3 linked regions of the Sus scrofa genome follow. Each later gene encodes a partner of the first gene's protein in a complex. Links are inferred from orthologs where the notes say so. Each region holds a gene or a part of one and is shown in the gene's direction. Other genes may lie near its edges. The genes, in order: USP39, LSM5 and PRPF4.

What was found.
Region 2: USP39 (region 1) and LSM5 share a complex: the UniProt entries of both Homo sapiens proteins name them as parts of the U4/U6-U5 tri-snRNP complex. The link is inferred for Sus scrofa from reciprocal best matches to the Homo sapiens genes USP39 and LSM5.
Region 3: USP39 (region 1) and PRPF4 share a complex: the UniProt entries of both Homo sapiens proteins name them as parts of the U4/U6-U5 tri-snRNP complex. The link is inferred for Sus scrofa from reciprocal best matches to the Homo sapiens genes USP39 and PRPF4.

The regions. Positions count from the first base shown.
Region 1 is NC_010445.4:59,132,546-59,136,194, reverse strand, and holds part of USP39 (U4/U6.U5 tri-snRNP-associated protein 2), read left to right. Parts: intron 1-878; coding exon 879-946; intron 947-1,999; coding exon 2,000-2,188; intron 2,189-3,649.
Region 2 is NC_010460.4:40,751,091-40,754,839, forward strand, and holds the start of LSM5 (U6 snRNA-associated Sm-like protein LSm5), read left to right. Parts: upstream 1-1,299; 5' UTR 1,300-1,392; coding exon 1,393-1,438; intron 1,439-1,449; exon of another isoform or gene 1,450-2,326; intron 2,327-2,441; coding exon 2,442-2,537; intron 2,538-3,372; coding exon 3,373-3,400; intron 3,401-3,749. UniProt on the Homo sapiens protein: Plays a role in pre-mRNA splicing as component of the U4/U6-U5 tri-snRNP complex that is involved in spliceosome assembly, and as component of the precatalytic spliceosome (spliceosome B complex).
Region 3 is NC_010443.5:253,904,891-253,908,639, forward strand, and holds the start of PRPF4 (U4/U6 small nuclear ribonucleoprotein Prp4), read left to right. Parts: upstream 1-1,367; 5' UTR 1,368-1,573; coding exon of another isoform or gene 1,574-1,764; 5' UTR 1,765-1,904; coding exon 1,905-1,931; intron 1,932-2,703; coding exon 2,704-2,881; intron 2,882-3,749. Other genes in the region: anaphase-promoting complex subunit CDC26, read right to left, coding at 1,574-1,764. UniProt on the Homo sapiens protein: Plays a role in pre-mRNA splicing as component of the U4/U6-U5 tri-snRNP complex that is involved in spliceosome assembly, and as component of the precatalytic spliceosome (spliceosome B complex).

The DNA.
Region 1 (3,649 bases):
GGTGTTGGTTTCTGGATGTGGGATTATGGCCTGGCTCCCTTTCTGCCAAATGGTCCTGCCACCTCTACAGGTATCTTCAGCCCATGCACACCAGAGCCCTCCAGCTTTTGTCTTGTCAGGATTCTAGAACCCTGTGGTGGCTCCGTTCTCATTGCTTTGGTTTTGCCCTGCTCTATCCCTTAACCTGTCGTTTTCCTTTTATGTCCAGTGCAGGGTGGACATGGTGTCCCTTTGCAGGCGCACACGATTACGGTTCTAGTTTATTTATTTATTTATTTTTGTCTTTTTGTCATTTTCTTGGGCCGCCCTCACGGCATATGGAGGTTCCCAGGCTAGAGGTCTAATTGGAGCTGTAGCCACTGGCCTACTCCGGAGCTACAGCCATGGGGGATCCGAGCCTCGACTGTGACCTACACCACAGCTCACGGCAATGCCGGATCCTTAACCCATTGAGCGAGGCCAGGGATCGAACCCGCAACCCCATGGTTCCTAGTCGGATTCGTTAACCACTGCGCCACGATGGGAACTCTGATTCTAGTTTCTTGAATGTATCTTACTTTATTTGTTAATGTTTTTGTGATTCATTAATCTTCAGTTTCTGTAAATCACTCATTTATTTCAGACGCACTTCATTTTTCTCTAAGGGGCCAAGCCCTGTGCTTGAGGGTCAGTGGGTTTCTTGTGGAGAAGATAGGTATACCATTACTTACGCAAATAATTCTAGAGGTACCAATGTGGCGTATGTTCTGTGTTTAGTGAGAGCTTTGGGTCTTACAGTGGAAGAGGCTGGTTTATTTCAGAAATTGAGGAATTAGGACTGTACTTGGAAATGCTTTCCTACCTAACAAAATTTGCCTTTTTGACTTGGGTTTGTCCAGCTATAGTGACTGACGTCTTCCAGGGATCCATGAGGATCTTCACTAAAAAGCTTCCTCATCCCGACTTGGTGAGTGCTTTGAACTCAAGCCTTGGGCTGATTTATGTTGCCTGACAGGATTTGGAGTGGACAAAGAGATGTCTAGATAACTGGTACAGCCTTTTATCCAGGAAGAGAGAGACTCTTCAGAACACCTGCCAAGTGGCACTTCCCTTGGGTCCCTGTTGCATCGGTGTGCTGGTTGGGGAGGTAGTCGTTGGATATGCAATTGACCTTTGAGCACCACCAGTTTGAGCTGCACTGGTTCACTTATATGCAGATTTTTTTCAATACATAAAACTACTTTGTTTACATTTCACAGTTGGTTGAGTCTGCGGATGTGGAATCTGTGGATGTGGAGGGCCAACTGTGGGACCTAAGCATCCATGGGTTTTGGTATCCAAGGTGTATCCTAGAACCAGCCTCTTATAGATACTAAGAGGTGACTAATTTGAGTGGTCTGGCCACTAGGTGGTGCTGGAGTGTTTTTTCCAGAAAGCTCAGAGACGCTTTCTAGTCCATCTAAAGGCTTTTATTTTTATTTATTTATTTATTTATTTGGCTGCAGCATGCCACAGCTTTATGTAGGATCTCAGTTCCCAGACCAGGGATTGAGCTGGGGCTGCAGTGGTGAAAGCTGTTCTCATGACAATACCAGATCCTTAACCCACTGTGCCACAAGAGAACTCCAGTACTGGGGTATTTAAAGAAAATCTTTCTGAAGATGGAAGCCTAGTTTTTGCATTAATCTAAACGGTTGTGCAGAAATTCTCTTGTGGTGCCTCAGGTTAAGGATCCAGTGTTGTCACTGCAGCCACTTGGGTCACTGCTGCGGAACGGGTTTGATCCCTGGCCCGGGAACTTCCACATGCCACAGGCACAGCACCCCCATCCCCCCCAAATAAAAGTAAAACAAACAGGTTGTGCAGCTGCACATGAGACTGCCCAGTCTCTCCGACACCCTTCTTGGTTCACCTCAATATTAAATGAAGTAAATGAAATAGAAACATGGTTTCTTTTATCAGTGATGTTCTCCACTCTCCTGCCACTCCTTCCCTCCTTTTTCTTATCACTCATTTCTAGCCAGCAGAAGAAAAAGAGCAGCTGCTTCACAATGATGAGTACCAGGAGACGATGGTGGAGTCCACTTTTATGTACCTGACGCTGGACCTCCCTACCGCCCCCCTGTACAAGGACGAGAAGGAGCAGCTCATTATCCCCCAAGTGCCCCTCTTCAACATCCTGGCCAAGTTCAACGGCATCACTGAGAAGGTAGCCCATTTGCACACCTGCCCTGCTGATCCCCCTCTTTCTCTTGATGTTTGTCTTTTTATACTTGGAAATCACCACATGTATGTAACGCTTTTATTTCAAGTGTATTGTGCCTGTTGAGCCTCTCAGACTCCATGCTCTTTCACCCCCAGCTCCTAACTTGAGTTTTAATACCTCTGGGTATTGTGGAGAAAGGAGGGGGTAAAACTCACAAAAGCAGGAAGAACTCCCATCTTTTAAAAAATATAACATCCGGGAGTTCCCGTCGTGGCTCAGTGGTTAACATATCTGACTAGGAACCATGAGGTTGTGGGTTCGATCCCTGGCCTTGCTCAGTGGGTTAAGGATCCGGTGTTGCCGTAAGCTGTGGTGTAGGTCACAGGCGCAGCTCGGATCCCCCGTGGCTGTAGCTCCGGAGTAGGCCAGTGGCTACAGCTCCAATTAGACCCCCAGCCTGGGAACCTCCATATGCCGAGGGAAGCGGCCCTAGAAAAAGGCAAAAAGACAAAAAAAAAAAAAAATATATATATATATATATATATACATATACACATACACATATACACATACACATATACATACATATACACATACACATATATATACATACACACACACACACACACACACACACACACACACACACACACATATAAAACATCTGGAGTTCCCTTCATGGCTCAGTGGTTAACAAACCTGACTAGGATCCATGAGGATGCATGTTCAATCCCTGGCCTTGCCCAGTGGTTTGAGGATCCGGCGTTGCCGTGAGCTGTGGTATAGGTTGCAGACTCAGCTTAGATCCTGCATTGCTATAGCTATGGCACAGGCCAGCAGCTGTAGCTCCGATTCAACCCCTAGCCTGGGAACTTTCATATGCAGTGGGCACAGCCCTAAAAAATACGTGTGTGTGTGTGTGTGTGTGTGTGTGTGTGTGTGTGTGTGTGTGTGTGTGTGTGTAATATTAGTATTAAAGGTGGGAAAAACAGACCTAAAATACCAATAAAATAAAAAAATTTATTCTGGAGTTCCTGTTGTGGTGCAGTGGGTTAATGATCCACCTTGTCTCTGTGGAGCCGTGGGTTTGATCCCAGCCCACTAAAGTATGTTAAGGATCCTGCATCACTGCAGCTGTGATGTAGGTTGCAGCTCTGGCTTGGGTTCTATCCCTGGCCCGGGAATGTCCATATTCCATGGGGGAAGCTGAAAAAGGAAAAAAAAAATTATTATTTAACATTGCTCTTCATTAAGTTAAAAGGTTCTTTTTATCTGCTGAGTTAACTGTTTCTTGGTTTAATTCCTTTCTTCATTTTTGACAAATTTACTCCTTTTTGATTCTGTACTGGGAGAATTTTTTTTAACCTGTTGGTTCCTGCTTTTTTTTTGGCTGCACCAATGGCATGTGGGAATTCCCAGGCTAGGGGATGAATGCTCACCATAGCTGTGCCCCCTCAAGCCACA
Region 2 (3,749 bases), on another chromosome or scaffold:
CTTAATCCACTTATCAAGGCCAGGGATTGAACCCTTGTCCTCAAGGATACTAATCCAGTTCCTTACCTTTGAGCCACGAGGGGAACCCCCAGAAAAGTATTTCTTTAAAGCTAGCTATGGGTTTGCAAACTTTTTTTCCTTTGGTCTTTTTAGGGCCGCACTCTGCAGTCTATGGAGGTTCCCAGGCTAGGGGATCAAATCGTAGCTGTAGCTTCTGGCCTAGGCCACAGCAAAGCAGATCCCAGCCACGTCTGAGACCTACAATTGCAGTTCATGACAACCCCGGATCCTTAGCCCATTGTGTGGGGCCAGGGATCCAATCCCCTGTCCCCAGGTACTGGTTGGGTTCCTTACCACTGAGCCACAATGGAAACTCCTACACTGAACCTTTAAAAGAAGGTAGGGGAGTTCCTGTGGTGGCTCAGTGGTTAAGGAATCCGACTAGGAACCATGAGGTTGCCTGTTCGATCCCTGGCCTCGCTCAGTAGGTTAAGGATCCGGCGTTGTGCCTGAGTTGTGGTGTAGGTCGCAAACGTGGCTTGGATCTGGCAGTTGCTGTGGTTCTGGCGTAGTCTGACAGCAACAGCTCCGATTAGACCCCTAGCCTGGGAACCTCCATATGCTGCAGGTGCAGCCCTAGAAAAGAAAAGAAAAGAAAAAAAAAAAAAAAAAAAAGGTAGGGAGTTCTCCTTTGTGGCTTAGAGGATTAAGAATCCAACTAGTATACCTGAGCGTGTGTTGGATTCCTGGGGTCGTTCAGTGGATTAAGGATCCCCTTGTTGCTGCGAGCTGCGGCTCAAACCCACATTGCTGTGGCTGTGGCTAGGCCGGCAGCTGCAGCTCGATTTGACTCCTAGCTTGGGAACTTCCATGTATCTGCTCTGTGGCCTTAAAAAGAAAAAAAAAAAAAAAAAAAAAAAAAAAAGCGGTAGATTCCTGTAAAAAAAAAAAGTTTTTGCTTTTGTTTTTTAACAAAAATTGCAACACAATAAAATCAGTGGCGGAAAAAATATTTATGTTGGTCTTCAGAAGATCCTTGGTTGAAATGAAATATAACCCAGGGAAAATCAAACGACTCAAACGTTTCTATTTTGCAGTCTTCCAGGTTGAGGAATATTTTATTTATAAGGCAAGATATCTTTAATTTGTCTTGGAAACTTGGAGGGCAAAGTATCTGCTGAGGCCGCAGAATGTTCAACGCACTGATGTATTCCCCCGGATCTCGTTGCGGAGGAAAGAAGTGACTCCGAGCGATTCACGTAGGACTGGCCCGATCGCACGCTCGGCCTCAGATTGGTCGAGCCTGGCCGGGCTAGGGGAAAAAAGCGGAAGCGCGCTCTTTCAAACTCGCCTTCCCAACGTCGGTAGAGGCTGGCCACTTCCGGCGTAGCCATGGCGGCTAACGCTACGACTAACCCGTCGCAGCTGCTACCTCTAGGTAATCGTTGTCCTGTGGGGAGCTGGGGAGGGGAGCTGAAGGGTTGCGGGCCGAGGGCCAGCGCAGTCCTTGACTGAGTGTTAGAGAAATGTATCTGACCAATTGTTTTCTTTATCCGCGGCTCTTTGGGCTCTAAGGCTCTGAGGCCTCAGGCCGCCCGCGTCTTTTCGGCGTGGAAGGGTTTTCTTGAGCCAGGACTTTCTGAGTTCTCACACCAAACCGTCACTGGAAAAGGTTCACACTTAGTGAATGCGTCGTCGGCCTTTTTTGTTGTGAGTTCGCCTTTACAGTAGTGGATAGCAGTCCCATTCTTCTACCTGGCATTTAAAATCCCTAGGTTAGACCCTGTTGTCTGTCTGGCCCGTTATTGAGAGAGGTAGCGGGGTCTGCAATGAGCTTTAAAAGGGGACACTGGAAATTAGCTCTGATTGTCATTCATTTATTCCACAAACAGTTTTTGCGCATCTGTAGACTAGACATCGTAACTTAGCTTCAGGTAGCATTCATGCCAGCGCAGGAGACAGGATGCCAGACAATTAAACATCATACCAAGTAACAGTAATTCTGCTGAAGAGATATTCAAGCTGCTCTCAGAGAACAGAGGATAGCCGTCTTGGGGCTGGGGAAGACAGTTATGTCTTTTTCTAATATTTTGTATCTGAAGGGTAATTAAGTTAGTGGACGTGGCGGTAATTGGAAAGTTTTTTCCTTCATTGAACAAAAAAAAGTTTCTTTTTAGGCCCGCACCCGAGGCACATGGAGGTTCCCAGGCTAGGGGTCCCATTGGAACTGTAGCTGCTGGCCTTCGTTTCTGCTGCGCCACAACGGGAACTCCCGAGACCTGAAGTTTTTGAGTGAATCCTTTTCTTGGTTTATCTTTCACCATATGTAAGTAATAAGTGCCAGTAAGTACTCACATATTTCTTGAAGTAATGAATGTGCAAAATAATTTTTTTCACCCCTCCCCCCACTTATTTTTCTTTTAAAAAACCTGTATCTATAGAGCTTGTAGACAAGTGTATAGGATCAAGAATTCACATTGTGATGAAGAGTGATAAAGAGATTGTTGGCACGCTTCTCGGATTTGATGACTTTGTCAGTATCCTTTTAAAAAGTGGGGGTATGGGTTTTTCTTTGTTTTTTAATTAAAAAAATTTTTTTTTGTTATTATTTTTTATGTCTTTTCTAGGGCTGCTCCCATGGCATATGGAGGTTCCCAGGCTAGGGGTCGAATCGGAGCTGTAGCCACCGGCCTACACCAGAGTCACAGCAAAGCGGGATCCGAGCTGCATCTGAAACCTACACCACAGCTCACGGCAACGCCGGATCCTTAACCCACTGAGCAAGGCCAGGGACGGAACCCGCGACCTCATGGTTCCTAGTCGGATTTGTTAACCACTGCGCCACGACGGGAACTCCATCTTCAGTTTTTTTTAAAAAAGTAAGAACTATAGTCAGTGCTTACTGATTATTATAATAAAAATTAATTTATTCTCATGGAATTCGTGGTAGTGTTTTAAGGGGTGTGTGTACCCCTACCAATCGCAAGCAATTTGAATTTGAGTCATTATGTTAAATGTTATTTTTTTATTTTTATTTTTTGTCTTTTTGCCTTTTCTAGGGCCGCTCCCTCGGCATAGGGAGGTACTCAGACTAGGGGTCTGATCGGAGCTGTAAGCTGCTGGCCTACGCCAGAGCCACAGCAATGATGTATCCAAGCCACATCTTCGACCTACACCACAGCTCATGGCAACGCCAGATCCTTAACCCACTGAGCAAGGCCAGGGATTGAACCCGCAACCTCATGGTTCCTAGTTGGATTTGTTAACCACTGAGCCATGATGGGAACTCCCAATGTTATAATTAAAACTGAACAAAGACAGAAGCCAGAGTAAATTTAACATGGTATATATTTTCTTAACACCAAATTTCAGATATGGTACTGGAAGATGTCACTGAATTGTGAGTAGTGTTAAAAATTAAAGAATTGGGCAGGGGGAATCTCTCTTTAAGGCAGTTGTAGCACTGTTGAGTCAGTAAAATGATGTATGAGAAAACACTGCCTGTTTGAATCACTAACATAGAAATTTTATGACTGAGGTTAGTAAAATTGGATTGTAGGATTATTACCTTAATTGTTAGGAAATTAGTGGAAACAAAGCTTTAAGGTAAAAGACACTAAAAGCAGTGAGGGATCTTAGGGCTCAGATCAAAAGTATTTAATACTTTGAATTGAATATAGAAAATGTAAATGATGGCTCAATTATATTAATTATAAAGATTGTGACCAGTAGTAGATCTGCTTTCAGAA
Region 3 (3,749 bases), on another chromosome or scaffold:
ATGAGGTATGTACAGTTCCCATCGTGGCGCAGTGGAAATGAATCTATCTGGGAACCATGAGGTTAAGGGTTCCATCCCTGGCCTCACTCAGAGGGTTGAGGATCCGGTGTTGTGGTGAGCTGTGGTACAGGCCGGCAGCTGTAGCTCTGATTAGACCCCTAGCCTGGGAACCTCCATATGCCGCAGGTGCGGCCCTAAAAAGCAAAAAAAAAGTATGTACAAACATAAATGATTATTACATGTTTCTAGGATGTAGCTAGGGACTGTGAAGTATACAAAAGATAAAATTTCCCCTCCTCCCATGAAGCCTGGGACTGAGACAAATGATATTATCAACACAAAACACTGACACATTACATTTCAAATTTTTTGGTACTAAATCAAATACGATTTTTTTTTTTTTTTTTTTTTGTCCTTTTAGGGCGCTCCCACAGCATATGGAAATTCCCAGGCTAGGGGTCTAATCAGAGCTGTGGCTGCCGGCCTACGCCAGGGCCACAGCAATGCCAGATCCGAGCCGCGTCTGCGACCTACACCACAGCTCACCCTAATGCCGGATCCTTAAGCTCCGGATCCAACTGAGCAAGGCCAGGGATCAAACCCACAACCTCTGGTTCCTAGTCGGATTCGTTTCTGCTGCGCCACGACAGGAACTCCCAAATCAAATAGGATCTTGATTCCAACGTAGACAAAGGCAAGAGGAAGCCAAAGTTCCAAGAGAATGCTTAAAAGAAAAAAACAACTGTGATACATTCTAACTTTCCCGCAAGCTGTAAAAAGCTCACCACTATGAAGAAGTATAGTGTAATGGGTAAAAGTGCTTGCTTTGGAGGCAAAGGGCAGAGACTCAAATTCTGTTGCCACTGATTTTGGACAATTAGCTTCGCCTTTCACTAGATCTTAGCTTCTTCCCTTGTATCTGTACTCAGGTGTTGTATGGATTGAATGACGTGATGCAGATAAGTGCCTGTAACGTACGTAACTTGGCATTTAGTAAACGCTCAAATATGTAGCCATTATTATTGTAACTGCCCTTGGAGAGGGTAGGAGGCTCTGTCCAGCTCGGGAAACAACAATAAATTTTGAAAAATCTCCACCCCCGATACGGGAGCAAAAACCTTGTCTTGTCGATCTCTGGTGCCCCAACACCCAGGGCAACACAGGGCTGTGCAGAGCTGCTTGCGCGCAGTTTACCTGACGCCTGACATTCTTCATCTCACTCCGAGTAATATAGACCAAACACAGGCCATGGCTCCTCCGCTGGCTCTTTATTTTACTCTGGCGCTAGAGGGCTCTTCGAGCTTATTCTTTCGCCACTGCCCAAATGCACCGAAAATCCACCCAGCTCAAAAGAAGCTGCCGAGAGAACTTCCCGACAGCGGAGGAAAGCACACTCCTTTCGCGGCTACAGGACCGCACTCCTGGGTCCGGGGCAAAGGTTTCCATGGCAACATGGTCCACCACTCTAGGAGGACTTAAAGCTCTTCGCAGGGCCGGGAGCGGCAGCAGACCCCGGAAGGTGCCGTTTCACTCCCGGAGTTCAGTCCGGAGGCGCGCGACTTGAAGCACCTACCTCTTTTCAGCCCTTTCCCGGAACCTCAGCGCCCACCCCGAATCTTCTGCTATGTCAACTGCACTACACCTCCCAGGTTGCTCTGAGTCTCTCTCCTCGCAGAACCTCGTCCTCCGCGTGCTCTTTTTAGAGGCTGTACGTGTCACAACGCTCAACGCACCCAGAGCCTTTCCTACTACGATTCCCATCATGCTCTACGGCGCCCAGGACGCGGCTTCGGCCCTCGGCCCACTTCCGGTCTGGACGTAATTCCGCTTTGTTAGGCGCGCGGTGGATGGTCTGGAACGTAGGGCTCGCCTCTTGCTGAAGCTTCGCGGCCTCGGAGCCCAGCATGGCTTCCTCGCGAGCCTCCTCCACGGTACGGATCTCGGCTCACTCTGGCAGGGCAGGGAGGGCGGAGGGGTGGGGGGTCCGTGCAGAACAGAGCCGTTAGGGAACGGGCGGTGGAGGACTGAGGAGGAAGGCTGCCAGACTCGGTCTGGTCTTAGAGAGCTGAGCAGCGTTTTTCTTTGAGTGACCGGAGTGTGTTTTAGGTCATTTTCATCTCTTACTACAACAACCCTAAAATGTAAATACCTCTTCCGTCTCGTTCAGAAACGGAGCTCTGAAAGGGAGTAGGGTTTTGGCCAAGATTTACGACAGTGTCAGTCTTGATTATAATGAGGCCTCCTAACTTCATATCTACTACCTCGCGTCTGAAAACGTTTGAATTGTATAGACCGGTAACTTTATAACTTGTTCCCCTTTATCATGGCGTTGGTTATTTCAGTTATTCTTGATATCTCCTGTGATGAGCAGTGGCCCTGAAAGTTTCATAAAACCCAAGAAGAGATTGCACCTCCAACCAAATGAAGTAAACATGTTCCAAAGCAAACCATTGATAGAAAAATCACAAGAGAAATTCACTAGTTTTATCTATCTCTTCCTATCTGCAAAACTTAAAGTGACTGAGAGACTGGAACACTCCCCCCTGCCCCACTCCATCAGGGAAGATACATCTTAATTGGTGTCCAACTTGTCTTTTTTGGGGGAGGGAATAGGATTGAAGCTCTGGATAAGCTTCATCCTCTGGGAAGCTAGCAAATTGCTGAGATTAAGCTTTAGGTTCATCCAGGTCTTTGATTTAACAGGCAACCAAAACTAAGGCACCTGATGACTTAGTCGCTCCTGTTGTGAAGAAACCACACATCTATTATGGAAGTTTGGAAGAAAAGGAGAGGGAACGGCTGGCCAAAGGAGAGTCTGGGATTTTGGGAAAAGAAGGACTTAAAGCAGGAATTGAAGCAGGGAATATTAACATAACCTCTGGTAAGATGCAAACTGTAGTCCATCTCTACTTTGGGTGCTCAAAATTTCTGTAATATTTACTTTCCTAAACGTAGATATCACAAGTATAGTGTCAGAAAACTTCGCATATTAAACTTGCATCTATTGGTGTTCCTATTGTGGCTCCCGGGTTACACGAACCCAACTTGTATCCAAGAGGATGCAGGTTGGATCCCTGACCTCATTCAAATGTGGATTAAAGGATCCACTGTTACTTTGAGCTGTGGTGTAGGTCTCAGACGTGGTTCAGATCCCAAGAGCCTGTGACTGTGTTGTAGGCTGGCAGCTGCAGCTCCAGTTTGACCCCTGGCCTGGGAACTTTCAAATGCCCCAAGTGCGGCCCTAACAAAGCAAAAAAACAAAAAAACAAACAAAAATTTGCATCTTTCGAAGGCCATACTTTCTGCCTACCCATTTAACATTACCCCAGAGCCTTTTTTCTTTTAACTTTTTTTTTTTTGTCTTTTTTGCCATTTCTTGGGCCACTCCCACGGCATATGGGAGGTTCCCAGGCTAGGGGTCTAATCGGAGCCGTAGCCGCCAGCCTATGCCAGAGCCACAGCAACTCGGGATCCAAGCTGCGTCTGCAACCTACACCACAGCTCACAGCAACGCCGGATCATTAACCCACTAAGCAAGGCCAGGGATCGAACCTGCAACCTCATGATTCCTAGTCAGATTCGTTAACCACTGCGCCACGACGGGAACTCCCAGAACCTTTTTTCTTAAAACCTTTTATACAGGTTTTCTTCCCTGAATTGTTAATAATTTTACTGGGAATTTATTCAGTGTGTGTTTGGATTCAGATTGATTCCACTTATCTTATGGATATCTAGGATAGTTCTGGCAT